Linked DNA regions of Caenorhabditis elegans. The protein of the gene in region 1 interacts with the protein of each later gene in a pairwise test. Each region holds a gene or a part of one and is shown on either strand. Other genes may lie near its edges.

Region 1 (4,554 bases):
CATCCCAATGAGTAGTGTCGTTTTGTTTTCGGTTTATCTTTTTTTTTTACAAGTTTAATTCTAATATACTCAACCGATTAGCCTAGGATAATGCAGCCAACTGACTTAAATTTCTCACTTTTCCCTCTCAATAACTCGATATTCTTTATCGAAATTTGCCTTTTTTCTGTTCAGATTTCACATCAAAAAGAATGGTGTCCCCCGAATCTTTGATATTTTGCTAAAATTTGTATTTTTCATTACTGTTCGGTGTTCACGAATAAAGTTTGATAAAGTTTGATTTAATTATCTGAAAATGTCGATTATTTAATTTTCAGTTATTGCTTAACAGATATTTAATTTATTATGTAAATTTAAGTACATTGAGAGTGGAAATAAATTCGAATTTGATGTTCCAAACAAAGCGATGCTGTATTTGAAGAAAATAATTCTGAAAAAGCAATTTATAATTTATACGAATCACAATCTTTTGCCTCAGAAACTCCTTTCATTTTTCTTTCTGGAATTTTGACCAGTGAAATTGGGACGACAATTTTTAAAAAATTAGGAGAACAATACAGTAGCCCGTCGCGCAAAATATCTCGTAGCGAAAACTACAGTAATTCTTTAAATGATTACTGTATCGCTTGTGTCGATTTACGCGTTCGATTTTTTAAATGAATAAAATTGAGCAAAAAATGAGAAAATAACACGAAGAAACGAAAGAAAATGGAATATTGCTGTCACTTTTTGAAAAAAAAAAAGATTTTGAAAATTGAGCCCGTAAATCGACAGAAGCGCTACAGTAGTCAGTTAAATAATTACTGTAGTTTTCGTTACGAGATATTTTGCGCGTCAAATATGTCGCACAATATGCATTCTCCGAGTTTTGCGTTCCTGTAATACGAAAAAGGTTACTGTATCCCAGGGTTTGGATCGTAGTTTTAGAAATCCCAAAAAAAAAGTTAGGACTCTTTGATAAAAAATTTTGTTCGATATGATTTGAAAAAATAAAGTTCCGTCAACAAAATTGACAGCTGAAGAAGGAAAAGGCGGGGCCCCAGTGGGCATGAGTGTCCCCAAGTCATGCGGTTATGTCTCTGCGTCTCTTCTTCTTCGTATACTCTCATTTCAGCTGTCTCATCGTCTGAAACTCTTATGGCTCAATGAACTCTCGTTTCAAAGAGACAGCTGCAATCGAACAGAGAGAGAAAGAGTGAAAGAGAGAAAATGAGAAGACTGCTTCGAGACACAACCACTTTTGGTCGTACTGCTTTTTTTCACCTGTTTTCACATGTATCGATTCAAGTTTTTAGAATCTAAGTTTCAAATTTTGATCACTTCAAAAATTATTAGTTATTTCTTTTTAGTCTAGACTTTCCTCGCGAGAAACATGCTTAAATTTGAATATATATCGAAATGTTGTATTTCTTATCAATAGACAACATTAATGTTTACTATCGATTAGGTTTTGTACGATTATGTCGTATAAAAATGTTGCTAATGCATTTCCTATGATTCTTGATGTTTTAGAACGGATTACGAAATTCTGCAATGATCAGTCAAATAATTTAAAGATATTTAGTATATTTAGCTACCACCTAGATACAGTAACTGATTAAATCGTCTCACTTCTTAAGTCTATTGTTAACTCTTTTCCTTAAAAAAGGGTCTTCATGTCCTATTTGTTTTGGTTTCGAGACCTGTTTTGGGCATAAATACGTGCAAACTACGGAAAGTCATTCCCGGTTTCCCAGAGAATCAATATTTGACGAGAGCTTCCGTGCACACCCAAACACACAGACACACATACACATAAAATGTTTCACAAAGTCGCTAAAAATGTTTTCTCATTGATTTTCTGGGAAGCCTGATTAATTAAAGAAGTCGCAGTGATGTTGTTCTTAAAGTTCGATGTGTAATTATGAGTAATTTTCCTTCCTGGTTTTCCATGCATGGACGTTTGAACATTATCTTACTATTAATTAGACGTCTAAAAGGTCTTGCGGCGCGAGCAGTGGGTTACTGTAGCTCGTGTCAATTTACGGGCCGAAATTGTACAATATACATTTTTTAATCATGAGTCAGAATTTTTTAAATTAAATTAGAGAAATATAACGCTATGGCAAACTGTATTTTGACACGAATTACAGTAACTTGTTGCCCGCGTGGCGAGACCCATCCGGAAAAGTCATGTAGAAAATTCTCATCTTTAGTCGTCTGAGAAATACTCCGATGTCCTCATTTTGTCACATCTTCATATATTCGACTTTTTTTTCAGCTTGATTTTCGATCGACAATGGGAAACTGCTTGCCGTCGTTGTTCGGGTTCGTCAGACAGCACGATGAGACGCCACTACGACGGTAATTTACTTTGTCATTCACTAGTATACTGTGAGATGTCGATGAAGCTAAACTGATGTGATATACCACAAAAATGAAAACGGAAGTTGTATTAACCAAAACACGTCGATTTTTTAAAAATTTAAATACAATTAGATTGTATGCTTGAAGTATAGAACAAGTTCAATAAACTATTTTTGCAGGAGCCGATCATCAGACGCAGCGATGAGCTTCACAAATCCGTCAATGATGCAACAAAGCGTAAGAAATTATTGAAGAATCTGAATTTAATTAAACTGAAATTTTCAGAGTTCGTACGTAAATCAGCTCTATCAACACAACGTAATTAGACAACGACAAGCACAGGAACAGGGAAAAGTGAGCGTTTAGAGCAGAATAATTTTAATTAAATTTTAAAAAATTCTCAGGAACTCGACGAAGCAAAAAAAAACCGAATTCGAGGACTTCTCGAGCAAATCCCTGCTGATGTATTTCGAGGAGATATGACCAGTAATGAGTAAGTTTTGAAATTCGGATCTAAATGAAAAATTAACTAAATTATTCAAACTACAATCTGACCAATATCAATTATTGTTCGAGCTACAGCAGAGGTGTTGAAAAAATTATTATCACCCAGACGCAAAATTTCACTCACAAAATATGGTTCCCGGTCTCGGCACGACAAAATTTTTGTGTACTGTGGAAGAGTGTGCGCCTTTAAAGATTACTGTAATTTTAAACTATAGATATATACGGAAATTTCATAGATTTTTAATTCTTTTTTGAAAACTCAAATATATGTGATTAAAAAATCACATACATTTTCACGAAACTTAAAAAATGATGAAATTTCCGCTGCAAGGAGAGTTTGAAAATACAGTATTCTATAAAGGCTCACACCTTTTCGCATTAAACAAAAAATTGTCGTGTCGAGACCGTGTATCGCACTTTGGCGCAAAATTTCGCGCCTGTATAATCAGTATTAATGCGCTCTAGTTAAATTTTTAAAAAAACCATTTTCAGATGTGCCATCTGTATGATCGACTTTGAGCCAGGAGAGAGAATCCGATTCCTTCCTTGCATGCACTCGTTTCATCAAGAATGCGTCGACGAATGGCTTATGAAGTCATTCACATGTCCTTCGTGCCTTGAACCAGTCGATTCAACCATACTTTCCTCGTTAACTGCCCATAATATGCAATCCTTACAACAAATCGTGTGCTCGCCGACTTCCTCATCAACTGCCAAACCATGAATGCCTTCTGCAAAAAATATTCCCATTTTCTTGCCCAGTAGAAGTTTTCGAGTTTGGTTTGCAGTGTTGGCTGTATTTGTCCCCATTACAAACGTCTGTATATAGAAATGCGTGTACATATGAACTATACCATTTCTTCACTCATCTTTCACCATTTTCATTTTGTTTCTTTTTTGCTCTGTTCCACCTGAAATCCCCATGTTGTGCATACTGTAGTCGTCTTTAATTCCTCATCATCTCCTGTTCATCTTTTTAGTCAATTCCATCCCAACGTGTTATTTTTCTTTCTTCTGTTCACTCATCTCGCTCTCTGTTCTGTAGCTTTTCTTTAATTCACCACTCGGTACACACTTTCTGTCTATGTATCTGATACTCATTTTATTGACTTCCCAAAAAAACTTCCGGCTACTCTGAAATTCAAATAAATTGCTTTTTTTTAACGCATAAAGTGTCAAATTGTCAAACTTGTTTTATTAAAAGATTCATATTGGAAATTGAAATTTGAAAAAAAGGATTGGATCCCTGATGGAAATTGGTACTCGTGGTGAAAAAAATATTAAAATTAAAAGTCAATTAAAATCCGAAAAAGTCTCGAACGGCATCCCAGGCTCCTTGATCGTAATGCTTATGGCTTAGCATGTTCACACCACGTCGTTGAGTGGTATACAATCGTGTCGGAGTGTCGGACTTCAGAATCTTCTGCGATTCTGGCAGCAATTCGGCGAATTGGCTCTTCTCCGGCTCGTGATGAGGTGTCATATCGGGCATCATAACTGGTGATCCGTTTTCAGTGGTTGGAGTTCCAAAACTAGTTCGGAGCACGAAGACACGTCCAGGAACGGTTGATTTTGTGCCATTTTGATACAAATCAACATCAGACTCGGTCGTAGCGTAAATATATCCGATTCCGAAGCTTCTGCGGAAGACAAACTCATCTTCGGTCTTGTAGGCGTAAATTGGGCAATCCGAGAGAGTAC
Region 2 (5,847 bases), on another chromosome or scaffold:
TGGGGAGAGGTGTGCAAGGGATGCACCGAGAAGGCCGAGCTCATCAAGCGCATCGAGGAGCTTAAGCCGAAATATGTCAAAGAAGAGCTGTGATTTTTTTTTCATGCCGTTCTACATGTGATAATCGTGTTTTTAGCGTGTGTGTTTTTATTGCAATTTTACTTGTTGAAATCTATTTTTTATTAATAATAATTTATTTATTGATTTCCCCCCCCCCCCTTAATTTTTTCGTGTTTCATCATCATCTTCCTCCCACTGGTCTGGTCAAATGAAGCTTTTTTCCCTGATTTTCCCTCAGTTTGCCAATTTTTCGGTTCTAATCCGGTTTTTAATAATTTATTTTACCTTTTTTCTAGGTTTTCCAGGAAATAAATCAGTTTAAAAATGTGATTTTCGAAGATTTACGGTCGAAAACTGGCATTTTTAGGCTGAAAATATCGATTTTCACCTTAAAAACCTCCAAAAACCAATTTTATCGATTTCGAAACGTTATTATTGATGGAAAATACGTAAAAATGGAAAATAATACCCATTTTCAGCTTTTTCAACGCCGAAAAATCAATTTTCGGCGATATTTTCTACTAAAATTACCGAAAAATGTGATTTTTCCGCAAAAATATGCGATTTCATAACAGTTTTCGTTGGGAAATGCACAGAAATCCAATTTTTCTAAAAATTTCGCAAAGGAATTGATTTTTTACTTAAATTACCGTTAAATTTATACATTTTTAGTATAAAAATTAAGATTTCGCGTGGATAACGAGAATTTACAGCGTTTTTTTGCTGAAAATATCGATTTTCTCGAATTTAGCGTTTTCAAAATGCTCAAAACGTCGAAAATTCAGTTTTTGGCATTATTTTTGATGGAAAATACGTCAAAAATGCCAATTTTCACTCTGAAATGCACATAAATCCTATTTTTTCGAAATTTCACTGTTGAATTGATTTTTTCACTCAAACTACCGGTGAATTTACATATTTTCAGATGAAAAACTGAAAGCTCCCGTAGAAAACGCGTCTTTTTCAACATTTTGGTGCTGAAAATATCGATTTTCCGCAAAAATAACGAATTCGTAATGCCAAAAACGTCAAAAATACACATTTTTGCGTTTATTTTTGATTAAAATTACTCCAAAATGTCAGTTTTCTGCAAAAATATGCGATTTCATCACTGTTTTCCATGGAAACTGCACAAAAATCCAATTTTGCCATTATTTTGCACCGAAATCGATTTTTTTCTCCAAAAAAATTATTCGAAATCGTGAAAAGCGAGCGTTTTTTAATGTTGGAAATCACAAAAAACCCAATTTTATCGATTTTTGGCCGACGTTTACGTTGAAAACTCGAGGAAAACAGTTTTTTAATTGAAAAATTCATAGTTTCCCGCAGAAAATTAGATATTTTAACTTTTTGTACTAAAAAAAATGGCATTTTTCCGATATTTCGAGAAAAACTTCGATTTTTAATTAAAAAACCTTGAATTATTAGTCTTTTTTCTTTTATTTCAGCCAAAATTTATACATTTATACATTTTTTTCTTCAGTTTTCACCATTTTGCACTCAAAAATCCGTCTAATTGTTGAATTTTTAACAGAAAAACAGTTTTTCGCTGGGAAAAGCTCTAAAATCACTCAAAAACCATCAAATTTATTCCACTTTTCCATGGAAACTGCACAAAAATCCAATTTTGCTATTATTTTGCACCAAAATCGATTTTTTTTTCCAAAAAAATTATTCCAAATCGCTAAAAACGAGCATTTTTTTGGTTGGAAATGCCAAAAACACAATTTTATCGATTTTTGGCCGATGTTTACGTTGAAAATTCGAGGAAAACAGTTTTTTAAAGTAAAAATTCATAGTTTCCCCTAGGAAATTAGATATTTTAACTTTTTTTTTGCGGAAAATGGCCCTTTTCCGATATTTCGAGAAAAAACTTTGATTTTTAATTAAAAAACCTTGAATTATTAGTCTTTTTTCTTTTATTTCAGCCAAAATTTATACATTTATATATATTTTTTTATTCAGTTTTCACCATTTTGCACTCAAAAATCCGTTTTTCTAATAGAAAAATCAGCTTAAAAGCCCCAAAACACACAATAAAATTTCTTGCAGAATGGCCGGGCAACTTCCGCGTCGAATCATCAAAGAGACACAACGACTTCTCGCGGATCCGGTTCCCGGAATATCGGCAAATCCAGACGAGAGCAACGCCAGATACTTCCATGTCATGATAGCCGGGCCAGACGATTCTCCATTTGCTGGTGGTGTCTTCAAGTTGGAGCTTTTCCTTCCGGAAGAGTATCCGATGGCTGCACCGAAAGTTCGATTCATGACAAAGATCTATCATCCGAATATTGATAAACTCGGCAGAATTTGTCTCGATATTCTCAAGGGTGAATAGATTTTCCCCTTTTTTTGAAAAATTAGTGAAAAAATTTTTTAAAAAACGGTTTTTAGCGTTTTAATCAATTATTTTTAGAGAATTTTCTGAATTTTCATCGAAATTTGCTATTTTTACACTGTTTTAACACAAATTTATTGATAAAATTCAGAAATCTAGCTTTTTTGGATATTTTTACTTGAAATTTTTCGAAAAACAGCCCATTTTCAACAATATTCACGAGTTTAGATGAATTTTTTGTATTTTTTAATATTTAAATCAAATTTAGCTCTTTTTGAGCGTATAAATCCGAATTTCATGCTCATTTTTCGCATAATGAGAAAATAATCCAAAAAATATGAATTTTTACGCATTTTAATGGGAAAAATGGATCAAAAACAGCTTATTTTGAGCGTTTTTTGACAAAATAGACGAAATTTCGAGAAAAATCGTGTTTTTTTTTGTTCTAATAAATATATTTAGGTGCATTCGAATGCGAATTTCTCGAAATTTAATTTTAAAAAACCCTCTTTTTGTGAAATTTTTTTCAAAGAAACTGCGAAAATGTATCATTTTTGCGCATTTTTAACCAAATTTCATCGAAAATCTCGGAAAACGGCGTTTTTTTGGCAATTTTTATTCAAAATTGCGAAAATTTCGGCGAACCCCCAGTTTTCGAGGGACATTTTCAATTTATGATCGAAATTAGCTATTTTTAATCATTCTAAAGCGAATTTCTTGTTAAAATTGCTGAAAAATCTGATTTTTTAGTAATTTCAATGGAGAGATAGTAAAATTCGATTTTTAATTACAAATTTCGTGTAATTTCTTCGAAAACTTCTTTATTTTTGCGCATTTTTTCCAATTTTTATCGAAAAATTACTCCAAAAGAAAGCATTTCGATAGATATATCTCATTTTTTGCGCATTTTAATCAAATTATCCATAGAAAAGTTCAATTTTTCGGCTATTTTAATGCGAATTATCTCGAAAAACTGCTCATTTTGAGCTTTTTCACATGAATTTCTCGAAAAAAAATGCCCAATTTTTCAGATAAATGGTCGCCGGCTCTTCAAATTCGCACGGTTCTTCTGTCGATTCAGGCTCTTCTTTCGGCTCCAAATCCGGAAGATCCACTGGCAACTGATGTCGCCGAGCAATGGAAAACGAATGAGGCCGAGGCGATTAAGACTGCAAAACAATGGACGATGAACTATGCTCGTCAGTAATATATCTAGGGTCTCGCCACGAAATCGATGAAAATTTGCAATTCTTTTGAAGCCAAAATCGAAAATTCGACCTCATGTCGATTTACGCCGATCGTGTACTCCCCGAGGAGAAGTTGGAATGATTTTTATACAGTTTTTGACCTTTTTAACATTAAAACTATCAAAAAATGGCTCGTAAATCCGATTTCCAGCCGAAAACTGCTTTTACGCCACTAAAAATATCGATTTTCACGGAAAACACTGTAATTTACGGCTAAATTTGCTATATTTAAGTAAAATTTCAGGAAAAGTCGACGAAAACGGCGAAAAACAATACTTTTAGCGCAATTATGGAGCCAAAATCGAAAAATCGAACTAAAAATCCCTGAAATTGGCGCATGTCGATTTACGTCAACTCGTGTACTCCCCGAGGAGAAGTGGGGGTGAAAAAAACGGGTTTTAAGGTGAAAATTATTGATTTTGGCCTATTTTTTCTAATTTGAACGTTTAAATCATCAATTTTTGCTCGGAATTATAGCTTTTTTGATAAATTTTTATTTTCGAATTTTTTTTAGTTTTTCAACCTTTAAAAAATCGAAAATAAAAATTTATCAGAAACACTATAATTTAGACCTAAATTGGTGATTTAAAGATTCAAATCAGGAAAAAATAGGCCAACATCAACAATTTTCGCCTCAAAATCCATGTGCTTCACCCCTCTTCTCCGCGGGGAGTACACGAGCTGCGTAAATCGACATGTGCCAATTTCGGAGGTTTCTAGTTCGATTTTTCGATTTTTGCTCCAAAATTGCGCTAAAATGATTGATTTTGGACCGTTTTCGCATCGACTTTTCCACAAATTTTACATAACTATAACAACTTTAGCGCTAAATTCCAGTTTTTCAGTGAAAATCGAAGTATTTAGTGTCTTAAAAGCAGTTTTCAGCTGGAAATTGAATTTATGAGCCATTTTTTTGGTAGTTTTAATGTTAAAAAACTGTATAAAAATCATTCCCACTTCTCCTCGAGGAGTACACGGGCTGCGTAAATCGACCCTTCGAATTTTCGATTTCGGCTCTGAAAACAGTAGATTTTCCTAGTTTTCGCTGTGGGACCCAACAATAAATATGCATTTTAATAAATTTTTTTTAACAATTTAAAAAATAAATTAATAATTTTTTTTCAGAAGCCTGATCGTCTCCGAAGCTCGCCTCTAGAACAACTACAAAAAATCACATCAAACAAAAAAAAATTCGAAATTCTCTCAGCCTGCTCTTTGTCCCGCCTTTTCCCGCCCCCTTACGAACTTCCAATAAATTGTATGAATTGCATAAAAATCTCGATTTTCCCCATCTTCTACTATATATCTAAATATTGATTTTTTTTGTCCCCGCCCGGTTTTTTGTCTCGAAATTCTACAATTTCCTCCCCATCCCATTGAATTTTTTAAAAAATTTTTTTGTCTCTGTTGTCTCACGATCCTCATCAAACCGTCGTCGTCCATTTAATTTAAATTCTTCTTTTTTTCTCCCAGTTTCCAGAAAATCTTCTTCCATCGAAATTGATTTTTTTTTCTCTTTTGGAAATTTTGATGATTTTTTGAATAAAGTCGTTATTTTTTTTGAGAATTTTTGAGAAATTTTTGAAGGCATTTCCAGCAGTAGCCTGATGGTTTTCAACCGGAAAAAATGCAAGAATAAATAGAAGAATAAATAGTAGATATTGTGATAGAAATTTTAAAAACTGGAAACTGCCTGAATCGCCGATTGCCGAAAGTGAGAAATGCCGAAAAAATGCACGCTGATATTACTGTAAATTTAAAGGGACACACAGTATCTTGTTGCATGGGTTTCATCGCGATGTGTTCAACTGTAGCTTTTTGATTTTTCTTTCGATTTTTCGAATTTTAACTGTGTTTTTTCATGTTTTTCTTGCGAAATTTGAAGCAATTACCGATAAAAAATTTTTAATTCAGATTTCTGCAAACATGGACTCGAAGCCACTCACCTATCTATCCATGCAGTGCATTATCAAACACTTGGAGGCGAATAAAAGGTGAGACAAACAGTTTCTGTAATTAACTAAATACATAATTCTCAGATTCCGACTGGCCGCACAATGCCCATCTCTTGTAAAGATCGAAAAATCGCAACCTCTGATTATCAAGAAGCTGGAATTCAATCGTAGTACAATCTCTGTCAATGGAGTGAAATACAAACTTGGTGCTAGGAACAATGTATGAATTTTTGCCATTCTAGAC

The links.
Region 2: the proteins of C01G6.4 (region 1) and ubc-13 interact in a two-hybrid assay, tested with the Caenorhabditis elegans proteins (one study listed by BioGRID).

What each region holds. Positions count from the first base shown.
Region 1 is NC_003280.10:9,270,749-9,275,302, reverse strand, and holds C01G6.4 (RING-type domain-containing protein), read left to right. Parts: upstream 1-2,260; 5' UTR 2,261-2,278; coding exon 2,279-2,343; intron 2,344-2,525; coding exon 2,526-2,583; intron 2,584-2,631; coding exon 2,632-2,700; intron 2,701-2,750; coding exon 2,751-2,839; intron 2,840-3,345; coding exon 3,346-3,577; 3' UTR 3,578-4,038; downstream 4,039-4,554. Other genes in the region: C01G6.3 (Lipoprotein), read right to left, coding at 4,151-4,554.
Region 2 is NC_003282.8:2,921,957-2,927,803, reverse strand, and holds ubc-13 (Ubiquitin-conjugating enzyme E2 13), read left to right. Parts: upstream 1-2,112; 5' UTR 2,113-2,113; coding exon 2,114-2,393; intron 2,394-3,432; coding exon 3,433-3,600; intron 3,601-4,773; coding exon 4,774-4,781; 3' UTR 4,782-5,213; downstream 5,214-5,847. Other genes in the region: manf-1 (Mesencephalic astrocyte-derived neurotrophic factor homolog), read left to right, coding at 1-93; fbxc-45 (F-box C protein), read left to right, coding at 5,575-5,642, 5,688-5,823.